Linked DNA regions of Tamandua tetradactyla. The protein of the gene in region 1 purifies or fractionates together with the protein of each later gene. This does not show direct contact. Links are inferred from orthologs where the notes say so. Each region holds a gene or a part of one and is shown on either strand. Other genes may lie near its edges.

Region 1 (7,500 bases):
GTTGCTTGCAACCAAAGAACCGAAGAACCTCAACAGCCAAAGCTTGCAAGGACCATCCGCCATATGTCAGAAGATGGGCCCATGGCACACCAGTCTTATACGGCATGGGTTAGACATAATCTCTACCTACTGGGGATGAATTAATATGGATCACAGCTATCATTTATTGAATGCCTACTGTTCTAGTTTGCTAGCTGTCGGAATGCAATATACCAGAAACAGAATGGCTTTTAAAAGGGGAATTGAATAACTTGGTAGTTTACAGTTCTAAAGCTGAGAAAATGTCCCAATTAAAAGGAGTCTATAGAAATGTCCAATCTAAGGTATCCAGGGAAAGATACCTTGTTCAAGAAGGCCAGTGAAGTTCAGGTTTCTTTCTCAAGTGAGAAGGCACATGGCGAACACAGTCAGGGTTTCTCTCTCATCTGGAAAGGCACATGGTGAACAAGGTCAGGGTTCTTTTCTCATCTGGAAGGGTAAATGGTGAGCAAGGTGTCATCTGCTATCTTCTTCTCCTGGCTTCGTGTTTCACGAAGCTCCCCGGAAGGCATTTTCCTTCTTCATCTCCAAAGGTTGCTGGCTGGTGGACTCTGCTTCTCGTGGCTATGTCGTTCTGCTCTGCTCTCTCTGAATCTCCTCATTCTCCAAAATGTTTCCTTTTTTATAGGACTTCAGAAACTTATCAAGACCCACCTGAATGGGTGGAGACATGTCATCACCTAATCCAATTTAAGAATCACTCTCAATTACATCACATCTCCAGGGAGATGATCTAATTACAGTCTCAAACATACAATGATGGATAGGGATTAGAAGAAACGGATTAGGATTAAAACATGGCTTTTCTAGGGGACATACATCCTTTCAAACCAGCACACCTACTATATGCCTCATGGGTGCTAATTTGTTTGTTTGTTTGCATGGGCAGACACCAGGAATCAAAGCCGGGTTTCCGGCATGGCAGGCGAGAACTCTGCCACTGAGCTACTGTGGCCCACCTTGGGTGCTAGTTTTATAGACATGATATTAGTCTTAAAGCCACCCTGATGGGAAGATATTTTTATTTTCACTTCACTCAGTCATAAAAAGGAATAAAGTTCTGATCCATGCTACAACATAGATGAACCTTGAAAACATTATGCTACATGAAATAAGACAGACACAAAAGGGAATGCATGATTCCCCTTAAATGAAATATTGAGTAAGCAAATACATAGAGATTGAAAGTAAATTAGTGGTTATGAGAGGCTGAGGGGAGGGAGAATGGGGAGTTATCGCTTGATGGCGATGTGACTCAAACTAGGCTTAATGGGTTCAGACGTAAAAAAGTTTCGGTAAGGGATAGTGGTGATGGTAGCACAGCATTGTGACTTTAATTAATGCCACTGAATTACACACTTAAAAACGACAAATTTTATGTTATATATATATTTTCCCACAATAAAAAATGGTGAAAGAAAAATATAAATATATATATATTTATAAATATTAATTTATAAAAAAATAAATTTATAAAAATATAAATATATATATATATTATCTTTATTTTTCATTTGAGGAAATGGAGGCTCATGGAACTTACCATTTGAAAGATACAAAATTAATGTAAACATTTTCAGAGCAAGCTGTAATAATAATCAGGAAAGGACAATATTTCCCTTTCTCTAGTATCTCTCTCTTTTCCTTTTTCCTGGGTTACAAATGGCCCCATCATCCTTCCTACATTGCCCCTGTAAAAATTCTTTTAAAGGGGTTAAGCAAAAATATGGATGTTGACTAGCACAGTTAGGTGCTTAAAAATTTTCCAGTTTGCTCTATTTTAAATATTAGGTGTTGCGTACATTCTGGAGATAGTTGACTTTTGACCCACTGGTAGATAATCAAAGCAAGTTTGATCCTTGGAATTCTGTATGAAAGGAAACTAGGATGAAGCAGGATATTAGGTGAATGTTTGGGAAAACATAACTGATTTTTAATTTTTTTTCGCATGGGCAGGCACTGGGAATCGAATCCAGGTCTCTGGTATGGCAGGGAAGAACTCTGCCTGCTGAACCACTGTGGCCGACCCCATACTGATTTTTATTACCAAAAAAAATACATATTGCATCAGACATCTCTTAGGCCTACATCATATTCTCCTGACTACTTTGTGCTTCAGTTGTTGCTGTAGCAATTGGCTCTGTGCAAGGGTGATCTTACAGTCCCTTCTGTTAGCTACTCAGAGTACCTATTGCTTTCTGCACACCACCTTGGTTTGGGACATCCCTGGGAATACATTTACTTATCTCCCACCTGGAAGTGGGAGATTGTAAAACCTCTGGGTTATGTCCTTCTCTAATGTGAGAGGAGACTTTGTGGATAAATGCTCCCCTTGTTTCTGGCTCTCATCTCTCAGGAGGACAATTCTGAGGCCTATTTTCTTTGAAACTCTTTAGAAGATCTCAGTGGAATGAAATCTAAGTTGTCTACAACAGGACTAATTCAGAGTGCCCTTTGGATTTGCTTTCCTTCTTTCTTCTTTCACTGTTCTTGGTTCCCCACTCTTGTTCCCTGAAATCACTTTTACAAATACACTACCTGTCCACAAGCACAGGTCGCAGGTTCAGCTCTGGGCTGGTTTGAAAGTATTATGTACTCCAGAAAAGCCATGTTTTAATTTTGATTCAATCTTGTGGTGGCAGCCATTTCTTCTAATCCTGATTCAAACTGTAGGTTGGAATCTTTTGGTTAGATTATCACCATGGAGATATGTCATGCCCAATTGTGGATGTGACCTTTTGATTAGATGGAGACGTGACGCCACCCATTCTGAGTGGGTCTTAATTAGTTTACTAGAGTCACTGCACTGAAATAAATCATGTAACTGGAGGCAGGTAAGGCTTGTGGGCTATATGACAAATAGGTCGGGTCCTGGAGTCAAAAAGAATTGGAGTCAAATCCTGGGTCTGCAAGTGACCTGCTGCGTGATTTTTTACAAGTTGCTGAGATTTTTATGCCTTCATTTTCTTATTTATAAAATGGGGACAAAAATAGCTCTCATCTTAAAGGACTGTTGTTCATTCAGTAAATATTTAACGAACATCTACTGTGTACCAACATCCAGGTTAGGAGTTGAGAATCTAGTAGGGAAGGGAGATATTACTAAACAGTCATACAAATATAAAATTACAAATAGTGCTAAGTACTATGAGGAGAAGTAAATACAGGATGCTGTGAGAGTAACAGGGAGACCTGACTTTTAGGGGGAAGGGGGTCCGTGTGTGGTAGTTAGATTCAGTTGTCAACTTGGCCAGGTGAAGATGCCTAGTTATGTTTCTGTGGACATGAGCCAATGATACATGAATCTCATCTGTTGCTCATTACATCTGTGGTCAAGCTAGGAGGCGTGCCTGCTGCAATGAATGATGTTTGAGTTAACTGGCTGGTGCTTAAATGAGAGAGGTCAAGGTAACACAGCCCGAGCAGCTCAGCATACCTCCTCTCAGCACTCGCAGCTCAGCCCAGGTCTTTGGAGATGCTGAAAGAAAACACCCCAGGGAAAGTTGTTGGAACCCAGAGGCCTGGAGAGAAGCCCAGCAGAGATCACCCTGAGCCTTCCCACATAGGAAAGAACCTCAGATGAAATTTAGCTGCCTTTCCTCTGAAGAACTAATGAAATAAATCCCCTTTTATTAAAAGCCAATCCGACTCTGGTGTGCTGCATACCAGCAGCTAGCAAACTAGAACACTGTGGTTGGGGAGATTTTAAGTGATGGGTGAGCTTAGATGTGAAAGATGTGTAGGAGTTAATCAAGTCAGGATGAAGAGAATTTCCCGCGGAGGGAAGAGCAGGGACTAGGTAGCATGAAGAAAGAAAGCAATTGTTGGACACACTCCCACCTCACAACGCTCGCACTACAAGTTTCTTCTGGAAACCTCTCTTCTGAGATTGGCTGGTTTCTCACCTCGTTTGGCTCTTAGTTCAAATGTCATCGCCTCACAGACCTTCCCTGACCATTCTTTAAAAATTAATATCCCCCCTTGCTACGAAATCGCTTTATTACATCACCTTATTTTATTTTCTTCACGATACCAACCGCTGATGAAAATGCTCACATGCGTTTATTAGTTATTTAAACGTCTCCATCCACTGAAATGCACACGCCAAGAGGGGAGGGATTTTTTGCAGATTTAAGTGCTGAATCTCCAAGTGCCCGGCTTACAGTTGTCGCCCGGTTCCCAGACGGGAAAGCAGAGACGCGCGGAGGCGAGGTGCTGGGGTGCAGGCGCTGACCTAACCTTGGGATGCTGCAAGTCGGAGAGCAACCAGCTCCGGCCGCCGCGGGACGAGCGCGGTGACAGCTGGGCCGCCCACCCGGAACCTGAGTGCGGCAGCTGCGGTAGCTTCCGGCAGCGGCGGACACTTCCGGAGCGGGACTCGCCGTGGCAATAAGTGGGACGGAGGAGGACGCGGAGGGCAGCGAGCCGCGGCGATGGATGACCGCAGCTTGGACGAGTTCCGCCGCCGCTGGCAGGAGGAGCTGGTGGAAGCTCAGGCGCTGAGGAAGCGGCGGCAGCCTCGCGCGGCCGAACGGCGGCCTCGGCGGCCCGAGGTGGCCCCCGGGCGCGGCGAGCAGGCCTCGGGGTACCTAGCGCTGGCCCAGGGCCTCTTGGAGGGCGCGGGGCGGCCCCCGGCGGCGCGGGCGACCCGGGGTGAGAGGCAGGACGCGGCGAGCCGCTCCCGTTCCCCTCAGGCCCGAGAGGGCGCCGGGGGCGGGGACCAGCTGGTGGACCAACTCATCCGCGACCTGGTGAGTGGCCATCGCCCCCCCTCCACCCCCCCCGACCCAGGCCTGGGCAGTCCCCCGCCCCCGAGACAAACCCTGTTATAAGTTGGGAAGTAACTCGGTGCACCACCCAATGTGGAGGGAAAAAGTGAAAGAGTGCATACACATGTGTTTGTGCATAAAGTATCTCTGGAAGCAATGGTTCTCAACTGGGGGTGGTTTTGTCTCCCAGATTTGGTAGTGTCTAGAGACAATTTTGTTTGTCACAGCTAGGGTGAGTACTACTGGTATCTAGTGGGTAGAGGCCAGCGATGTGCACAACATCCTGTAATGCACAGGACAGCCAGTACCACACACAAAGAATTGTCTGACCCAAAAATGTCAATAGATGTGAGATTGAGAAATCCTGTCCATGAGGGATACCTAAGCTATTAATAGAGGTTACCTTTAGGGAGATGGACTATAGGCAAGGGTGGGAAGGAATTTTAACTTTCCTCTGTATACTGTTTGTACTATTTAGTTTTTTTCTAACTGCGTGTATTAAAAAAATTACAGCAGCAAACAAAATTTAGAAAGAATATTTGAGGCACTATCATTAGGATGGAGCCTCTTTTTGTGAGGAAAATCTGGAGGAAGCTGGGGACCTTCTCTCCATTAAAATAGCCTCATAACCAAGGTTGGTAGTTTCAGTAAGCTCAGTATCACCTGAAACACATCAGTGACTCTCTAATTAAGAGTCAGAATAAAATAGCTGGTTTTAATTTAAGTCATTAAATTAGCCTCAAAGGAGACCTCTATAGTATTTCAGTCAGGAGAAATTCTGAAATGCTAGGTCACTCTAAGAAATACTGGCTTTTTATTTAATGCAATATGTAGTTATACTCAAATAACATCAATATTTACCTTTTGAGTTTTTACCAGGTGTCTGGTTCTGTGCTTTGCCTTAACTCTAATCTTCACAACTATCCTGCAAGGTAGAAATATTGTCTCTTTTTGCAAATAAGAAATGTTCGAAGAGTTTTTCTGTAATTTACCTGCAGTTACCCAGCTGATAAATTCTGGGGATTGAATTTGAATCCAGGTCTTTTGACTCTTAAGTTGCACATACATGAATTTTCCAATCTTCGTCTTGGGCCAAGAATCACCAGAGGACCTTGTTAAAATGCAAGTTCTGTGCCTTCTCTGCAAACCTGCTGAATCAGTTTCCAGAGAAAGGGCCGAGAAATCCGATTGTGATGATGAGGCAAGTTTGAGATACTATACTTTGCTGTACAGCGTCCTTTGATTTAAAAAGTCCTGATTCACAAGACTTTCTGTCCTTAACAATCCTGAGAGATAGGCCTTGATACTAGCAATAGTGGAGTAATAAATCAAGCATTCTATAAGTGAAAGCGGTCTAGCTACTGGGGGATCCAGGGGTTCATTACAATTTTAAACGTAGATAGAAAAAGCCTACAGTCTTTCTGGAATCCATGTCCTTGTTCTCTTCTGCCCCTTTTGGAATCACATCGGGTTCTACTAGGCTGTAGACTACTGTGAGCAGCATCCAACCTTTGGAGCACCTCCCTCTTTTTGAATACTTTGCGATCATCAGTAACACTGCTATAAATAAAGTAACAGTCATTCATTGTGTGCTTACTATTTAACTTTGTATTGTCTTCAGTGGATTAGAGGTATTTGTCTTCTCTAATTCTTCTAGTGACCCTCTCCAGTGGCCATTATGAGTCCTGTTTAGCAGGTGATCATTACAAATGTAACTCATATGTGAAGGGCCAGTAAACTTACCCAGTATCTTCCATCTAGGAAGTGATGGGAATGTTTATGAAAAGGCTTGGATTCTCATGTCAATGCTTGCAAGCCCCAAAGCTCACAGGAATCAGGCAAGTGCAAATGAGTGAAATAGGGGAGGCAAAGTGTAGTCAGCCCATTTTACCTAGTTTGTCGGGTGTTTTTCCAGATCCAGTCATAGTTTTGTAGTGATTTCTTCTGTAATGGTCAATGTAAATTTTATTATTTGTCACGTTAAACATGTCAGATACTATAGCAGTCTTCTTCATGATATCCCTAAAGAAACATACTTTACTATTTTTCTTGAAATGTGGCCCTTTTGGTTTTGTTTTCCTACTTTTTAAAGTTTTTTTTTTTAAAACTTTGAAATGTACCAGTCACGTGTTCAGTTCAATGCATTTTCAAAAGTGTGCACATCCAAGCAACCAGCACTTAGGTCATGGAATAGCATTAGCAGCGTGTCAGAACCCCCCTACCACTTGTGTCCTCTTCCACCCAAGGGTAACTACTTACTTTATTTCCAACATCGTATTTTAATTTTCTTCTGTGTTTGAACTATTTGTAAGTGGAATCATACAGGATGTGCTTTTGTGTCTGGCTTTTTATTTATAGCATTAGTTATGAAATTTTCCCTATAAATATATCACATTTTATTTATTCATTCTTTTAATGGTCACTTAAGTGGTTTCCAGTTAGAGGGCATTAAGAATAGTACTGCTGTGAATATTTTTACAACATCTTTTGGTGAACACACATTTTTCTTGGTTAGTCACTTAGGAATGGAATTGCTCATATATGAGGTACACATAGGTTTTACCTTAGTGGCTGTCGACAGTTTTCCAATGTGGTTGTATTAGTGTTCTTACATTTAATGGTAACTTGAGTGTGGGGTACCTGATATGTCATTATCTAGCTGAGATGACATGGCACTTGACCTCAGCAAGGG
Region 2 (7,800 bases), about 83 Mb from region 1:
TATTTGGGAAAGGGTGAGGAGGAAGACCTGATCTTTCCTGGCCCAGCCACTTCCATGGCTTTGTTCCCCGGAGGCCAGGTTGGAGGAACTCTCTTGTCTCTGTCACAGTCACCTACTAACAGACTCTGAGAAGAGTCACCTTAGTTGCCTCCCAGTTGCCTGATGGTTCAGGGAAGAATGGCAGGTCTGCTGAGCGGCTGCGGGGTCACAGAGAAACGCGGCGCTGGGAATTGGTCTCCTGACTTGGGAATGGGGTTGAGGAGTGTCCCAGGCTGTTGACCAGTCCTAGGGCCCAGGGTGGGGGTAAGAGGAGATGGGCGGGGGCGGGGGGGGGGTAGTTCGAGTGGATGGCTGAGGTCTGCGTCGCGGGCTAGGACCCCACGGCCAGACAATCTCGAGGTCAGTGAGTCAGTTGGTCGCTCAGGGGGCGGGGCAGGCCTTCTGTCCGTCTGTCTGGATGCCGAGGGGCGGGGAAGAATCGGGGTGGGCGGAGTTTTGGAGCCGGTCTGGAATCGTATGAGGTCGGTGAGGGGGTTTGTTCATCTGTCCAGGAGTGCGGGAATATGATATGGCGGGGCCCTCCACACTGTGCCCAATAGTTAACTCTAAGACTCACCCGCAGTCTCTCGGTCTGGCTGCCGCCCTGGCCGGCACTGCCCCTTTAAATCCATCATGGCTGCCTCTCGAGGCAATTGTTTTGACGGCTCCGAGGGGCGGGGCCTGTTCCCCCGTCACAAGACATCGGAGGCGCCAGAGGATTGGCTCTGGCTCTCGGAGGAAAGGAGATGTGTATCCGGCTTGGTCTCCTCTTCTCTGCCCCCTTCTTTTGCGTCATTAGACATCGACGGCGCCGGGAACTGTTGGTGTCACCCAGGAGCGCGGCGCGGCCTGGCTACAGGTGAGAGTGGCGTACGGACTCCTGTGGATTCTGACCTCCCCTATGGCCCTACGGGCTCTGACCCGTACTCTGGGCTCCCTGAGCCTTTCGCCAGCGCCCGCCGCCACTCCCATCCCTTTCCCGAGCCTGCTCCCCGCCGCCCAGGTAATCTGCTACACCGGGAAATGAGGCTGTTTCTGTTCTGGCCTCTCGGGAGGGAGAAGCCTGGGATGGGAGATGGGGGATGCGAATCTGGCCAGGAGTCGCGCCGGCCGGTGACGTTGGATAAGTCACTCATCCTTAGCTTTCCCTTTTGTAAGATCGTGTTGCCCTATAGTGCCGCAGGTGTTTTTCAGACAAGATACTGGAGGCAAAAGCGCTTTGCAGATCTCCTATTGTACGATTTCAAAAATAAGTATTTACTGAGTGCCTACTATAAGCCAGGCATAAGTAATATTTATGAGCTTAAAATAAATGAACTGACAATCACTCTGTAAGTGTAGTTTTTACTGTTCCTATTTTACAGATAAGAAAACTGATAGCAGTCAAGGGTCACGCACCAAGTAGTGGAGCTAGCCAGTCTAATGTCAGAGCCTCAGCTTTTAACCATTATGCTACAAGGATGAGTTATTGCTGAGATCAGAGAAAGCAGGATAAGATACCAAGAATAAAGACCTCAGGTGAAAGTATCAGGGGGTCACTAGTGGGCTACGGGAATGAACTGGTGAGGCACAGGAAAGAGAGGTTGTAAACTTGCTCATCTGGAGTTATCAGCTGTGTATTTGGCAGATGGAAACACAAAATTAAAAACTAGACCAACCTAATCTTCAGTGTTGGGAGTCAGCATTGAAGACAAATGATCCCGCCACTCCATTTATATGTGAAAATTCCCAGAAACATAACATAGATGGAAAAATGGGATCAGTGGTGATGATCATATATGTTTCCTGGAGAAGAAGAGTTTTATGCCATATTTGGAAAGATATGCCTCAAGGGAAGAACATTCATTGAAGAAATACTTCAGAGGTGAAAATGTATTAAAGGAGGAGAGGCAAACAACACACATACATCTGAATAAACATTCTGCACTGGTATCTGTGCATATTGATGGGTGGTATGTTTGGACAGCTGGTTTGGGGCACTTTCAGGAACAAGTAGGCTACAAGCTAAAAATGGTCTGTGTCCTGTCCCTTGGTTCTCTGATGCTTCTCCTTCAATTAGCTTTCCTAGTTAAAGAGCTTTCTCTTTATCCCTAGATAATAAGCAATGCCTTCCTCCAGTCACCCTCTGCCTTGATGTTGCCCCCCTGCCGCCCAATCCTTACTTCTGTGACCCTCAATGCCAAGCTTGAATCCTGGAAGAGTCGTACCAAGTACACCATTACACCAGTGAAGATGAGAAAGTCTGGGGGCCGAGACCACACAGGTGGGAGTGAGGGCAAGAGGATTTAAGCAATAAAGAAGAAAAACATGATAGGACCCTAAGCAAGTATAGTTGTAAACTTATACCTTGTGGAACAGAGAAATGCAATCAAAAAGCATTTATTGGACTCCTTCAGCATGTAGAATGTATGTTGGAGTCAGAGTGGGATACAAAGCAACAGACAAGGTGGTCTGTACTTCTAAAGACAATCTAGATAAAGAAAACTAGCCATACACAGGAAATGCCATGACATTTTTCTTTACACCATTTGAAACTTTACAACAGTTGGAATTGTTGAGCACTGTTTTCATGTCTCAGTAAACGTACTGAATGTAGTAATTTGATGAGATTTTACACAATTTCAATATTTAATATCTTCCCTAATATGCTATGTTTTCATTTTTTTACTTTTCTTTGTTATATTTACCAAACTCCATGTAGGTACTTCCCCCCACTCCCCCTTACCCCAATATGCTGTGCAAATCTTTTTTTTTATTCAATTTCTACTTCTGCCATAATGTTGGGAAGCACTGCTATTGGCCAAAGGGTGGGCCTGTTCCCAGTACTGGAAGCTGAATTAGTCTGACCTGGTTCATGTCCCCAAACTGTCCTGACCACAGGCCGCATTCGAGTGCATGGCATTGGTGGAGGCCACAAGCAACGCTATCGCATGATTGATTTTCTGCGTTTCCGGCCTGAGAATGAGAGCAAGCCAGGACCTTTTGAGGAGAAGGTCATCAACGTCCGATATGATCCCTGTAGGCAAGTTTGAGATATGGGGCAATGATGGTATATCTGACTGGCTGCTCTTTGGCTTCTCAGAAGACACAGAGCTGCCTTGATGGCCTGCTCAACCATCCCTTACCATTGAACAGGTCAGCAGACATAGCTCTGGTAGCTGGAGGCAGCCGGAAACGCTGGATCATTGCCACAGAAAATATGCAGGCTGGAGATATAATCCTGAACTCTGATCACATTGGACGGATGGCAGGTGAGGAATGGTTGCCAGATGCATGTAGGCTGGGAGGATGCGGGAATTCTTGTGCTGATGAAATTCCATCTTTTAGTTGCTGCTCGAGAAGGGGATGCACATCCTCTTGGGGCCTTGCCTGTGGGGACCCTCATCAACAACGTGGAGAGTGAGCCAGGCCGGGGAGCCCAATATATTCGAGCTGCAGGTATGGAAAGAGATGCTGCCTGGCTCCCTACAATTTGGAAGGCCAAGACCTGTGATCACAATTCTCTGAACCCATAGGCCATTGACAGAAAGAAGGGGAAAACAAGGAAAATGAGGATGTGCTTATATTTTGACCTAAAACATTATATGCGTCCTGTTTCAGTGTATCTGCTCCTAAAAGACAGCCAGAAGTATGTGGGGTATGGCCCCTGTGTGAACCAACCCCTCCACCTCATCCTTTTTGAAGGGTGGCAAAGCTGCCTTCTCCCTTTTCCAGGTACATGTGGTGTACTGCTGAGGAAGGTGAATGGAACAGCAATCATCCAGCTGCCCTCTAAGAGGCAGATGCAGGTGTGTATGGGAAGGACCAGCGAAGGAGGAATTTTTCATATGTACCTTTTCTGTCCAGGGATGGCTCCCAGATGTTTTATGCTAGGAACTGCCTCAAGCTGGGTCTGCCCTTTTCTGCTACGTGATTTGGCATGCAAGAGTCCATGCCCTCAACATTATGAGACTCTTTCCTCCCTCTGTTCATTGTCCTCCATCTGTTTTCTTTGTCAGGTGCTTGAAACGTGTGTGGCAACAGTGGGCCGAGTATCCAATGTAGATCATAACAAACGGATCATAGGCAAGGCTGGGCGGAACCGCTGGCTGGGCAAGAGGCCTAATAGCGGGCTATGGCACCGCAAGGGGGGCTGGGCTGGCCGAAAGATTCGGCCTCTACCCCCCATGAAGAGTTATGTGAAGTTGCCATCTGCTGCTGCCCAAAGCTGATAATTGATATCCCTGGAATCTAATAAAGTGGTCTCCCTCACCTATTTTTATCTGTTGTTTTTATTGGAGGGGAGGGTATGGACTGGACCAGGGGAGAAAAAGACAGAAGCGTTGGGTGAATAGAAGGAAAACGACCAATTGTTGCAAAGACTGGGGCTTCCCCCCGAGTTCCTTTATATGCAGGGGAGGATGGGGGAATAAACGATCTCCGAGGTCTTCCCCAGTTCTGACTTGCGAGAACGGGGAAGGGACTTCCGGCGGCAGGAGGGAGGACAAAAAGGAAGAGGAAAGGGCGGCGCGGAGGAGGAGGAGGTTCCGTGCGTCGCCGAGGTGGCACTCGCGGCCCCGCCCGGACGCTGTCCTCCCAAGGCCCCTCATTTTCCGCTAGACCCGCGGAAATGGTCCTCGGCTCCGGGCGGGCAGCGAAGCCCCGGAAACTGGGCGAGTGGCGCTGCTGGCCGCGGCCAGGCCCCGCCCCATCTCTGCAGCCGCCGATCCCAGCGCGCGGGTGATGACACTCGCCGGGCACCAGGGCACTGGATCCGCGCGCCACGCCCCCTGCCCGCGGAGGCACGCCCCCTCCCTCCTCGACCCTCTCGGGGGGCCCAGGCGGGGCCCAAATCTCCGCCAGCGTCGCCGCCATCGCTAGCGCAGCGTCCCTAGCTCTGCGAAGGACAGGCCTCACGCCAGGACCCCCATCGACTTCTGAGGTGGCCAGAGCCCCACCGCGGACCCCGGCCCCTACCCTGGGTTTTCGACCACCTTGCGCTCACCCGACCTCGCGCACCCCTATCTCACCGTGCCTCCGGCTCCCCAAGTTCATCCAGCCACCAGCCCCACCCCCACTCTCCGGCTCTTCTACGGTGCCGCGCGCCCCCTGCTTACCAGGTCTTCAATCCCGGTGCACCAAACCTTGTGTTCCTCGTTGGCCGGGTCTCTTGTATGGCCAGTCCCGGGCTTCACGTCGCCCCTATCTGGCCTCTCTGCTCCAGCTGATGGAAGCAGAGGCCCTCCAGCCCACCAGCCTCCTCCCTCCCAGCCCCTCTGGCCTTGTACCCTTTCTTCCTGCCCCCCATTCTCTGGGTCTCTTGCTTCTGCGACTCGAACTCCCCCTTCAACCCTCAAAGCCAGCACCTACACGTTCTCAGGGTCTCCCTGCCCACCCACCCCCTAAATACACACCTCTGGGCTTTGCTCACCACCTTCCCGGGCTGCCTCTGCCTGTCCTAAGGCCTTAAGCTTCACTTGTGACTCCAAGGCTGCCTTGCCCCCACTTCCCTGCTGTCCCTCTCCCACTGCTCCAAGTCAACCCTTTCCAGGCTGCCTTGGAGACCTTCCTTTTAGCCTGCGAATTTCATATTCTTTCAGAATAAACACCCCAGTGTTCCTCTGCTCAAACCTGGTCCCACCCAGACTGCAGCAGCCAACTCCTGGGCCTGCTTTACCCCACCCTGCCTCACAGCTGTTGTCACATTTGCTTCCCCAACTTCTGTATGTCCTTGGTTTCCTGACCTCTCCTCTCCCTCTAGCTTGCCTGTTCTCTTTTCCTTGTGTGTCCCAGGTGCCAGGATGGTGGGGGAACTCCGCTACAGGGAATTCAGGGTGCCACTGGGGCCTGGCTTGCACGCCTATCCCGATGAGCTGATCCGCCAGCGGGTGGGCCACGACGGGCATCCTGAGTACCAGATCCGCTGGCTCATCCTCAGGCGTGGGGATGACAGGGAAGGGGCCTCTGGCCAAGTGGACTGCAAGGCTGAATATATCCTACTGTGGATGACCAACGATGAGATCTATGCCAACTGCCACAAGATGCTGGGCGAAGATGGCCAGGTCGTTGGGCGCCCCCAAGAGTCTGCAGGGGAAGTCGGGGCCCTGGACAAATCTGTGCTGGGCGAGATGGAAAATGATGTGAAGTCCCTGATTCAGAGAGCCCTGCAGCAGCTGGAGGAGTGTGTGGGTGCCACCCCTCCCGCCCCTCTGCTTCACACAGTCCATGTGCTCAGCGCCTATGCCAGCATCGAGCCCCTCACTGGGGTATTCAAAGACCCCAAGGTCCTGGACTTGCTCATGCACATGTTGAGTAGTCCTGACTATCAGATTCGCTGGAGCGCGGGCCGCATGATACAAGCCCTGGCCTCCCACGATGCCGGTGAGAGGCAGCATGGGGAAGAAAGGGAAGCAGGAGAGGGGCTGGGTCGGCTCAGGGACTCCCAGGACGCTGTGACAGGAGCCTCTGACGTCATCAGTACGTAAATGATTCTGTGCCCTTCTCTTAAAGTTGGAAGCAAAGGAGGAGGGTAGGGGGGATGGGCGTCTCTGCAGAAAAAGGAACGACTGTGAATCCTCTAGAACCTTGGATTTTTATGCAAAAGAAGAATGTAGAGTTTAGATTATTGCGGATTTTATATGCATATATATGTGTATAAGATAGTACATTTTTAATTTGAAAGCAAATCATGCCATTCCTAGAACGTGGTGGCCAAAGGACTGGACTGAATAGAGGGATTAGGAAAGATATATGGGAAGGGTGAGGTTAGGAGCAGTTACTGATTGGGGTGTGGGTTACAGGGAGCCGCGCACAGATCCTTCTGTCCCTGAGCCAGCAAGAGGCCATTGAGAAACACCTGGATTTTGATAGCCGCTGTGCTCTGCTGGCACTGTTTGCACAGGCCACACTCTCTGAACATCCCATGTCTTTTGAGGGCATTCAGCTGCCACAGGTATTCTGTGGGGGGGTGAGGTGGGCAGAGGTTGGGGAGAGCTGTGAACCAGATGTAGACACAAGGCCTTTGCACCTAATCTGCAGAGGACAGTGTGGAAGAGGGGCTAAAGTAGGAACAAGGTGGATGGAGACCAAAGGTTGTATTCTACAGGTCCCGGGAAAGCTGCTCTTCTCCCTGGTCAAGCACTATTTGCATGTCACCTTCCTCCTGGATCAGCTGAATGACAGTGCTGTGGAACCTGGAGCCCAGAACAACTCTGCTCCTGAGGAGTTGAGTGGAGAGAGGAGTCGGCTGGAGCTGGAGTTCAGCATGGCCATGGGAATTCTGATCTCGGAGCTGGTACAGGCCATGCGCTGGAACCGGGCCTCGAGCAAACTGGGGAGCACTGCCCGGTCGGCCTGTTCCATCTTTCAGCCCCAGCTGGCAGGTGCAGGCCCTGGAATCCCACCTATCCAGGCCCGGCCCTTCCTCAGGAGGTCAAGGCGGTTCCGCCCTCGTTCTGAATTTGCCAGCGGCAATACCTATGCCTTATACGTAAGGTATGCGCTGCAGCCAGGGATGCGAGTGCGGATGCTGGACGATTACGAGGAGATCAGTGCGGGGGACGAGGGCGAGTTCCGGCAGAGCAACAATGGCGTGCCTCCTGTGCAGGCGAGTGAGCGCATGGGCATGGGACACTGTTGGGGCCGTCATTTGGGTGGGGGCCATGCAGGGGGGTTGGGTTGGTAAAAGGGGGGCAGCAGTTGGCCCTTCAGGAAAGAAAGGAGTCGTTAGGAGGGCTGAGAAAACCAAGTTTAGAAGGCTGTGAGACCAGAAGATTCAAACCT

What was found.
Region 2: the proteins of FBXW8 (region 1) and CUL7 purify together in Homo sapiens (affinity purification with western blotting; 12 studies listed by BioGRID and IntAct, with this or other methods). This does not show direct contact. The link is inferred for Tamandua tetradactyla from reciprocal best matches to the Homo sapiens genes FBXW8 and CUL7.

Annotation. Positions count from the first base shown.
Region 1 is NC_135331.1:17,254,055-17,261,554, forward strand, and holds the start of FBXW8 (F-box/WD repeat-containing protein 8), read left to right. Parts: upstream 1-4,417; 5' UTR 4,418-4,472; coding exon 4,473-4,790; intron 4,791-7,500. UniProt on the Homo sapiens protein: Substrate-recognition component of the Cul7-RING(FBXW8) ubiquitin ligase complex, which mediates the ubiquitination and subsequent proteasomal degradation of target proteins.
Region 2 is NC_135331.1:100,633,123-100,640,922, reverse strand, and holds the start of CUL7 (cullin-7), read left to right. Parts: upstream 1-4,554; 5' UTR 4,555-4,960; intron 4,961-5,811; 5' UTR 5,812-5,819; coding exon 5,820-6,495; intron 6,496-6,818; coding exon 6,819-6,970; intron 6,971-7,123; coding exon 7,124-7,624; intron 7,625-7,800. Other genes in the region: KLC4 (kinesin light chain 4), read right to left, coding at 140-197, 617-674; MRPL2 (large ribosomal subunit protein uL2m), read left to right, coding at 673-1,042, 2,920-3,061, 3,175-3,290, 3,367-3,477, 3,754-3,827, 4,038-4,250. UniProt on the Homo sapiens protein: Core component of the 3M and Cul7-RING(FBXW8) complexes, which mediate the ubiquitination and subsequent proteasomal degradation of target proteins. Core component of the 3M complex, a complex required to regulate microtubule dynamics and genome integrity.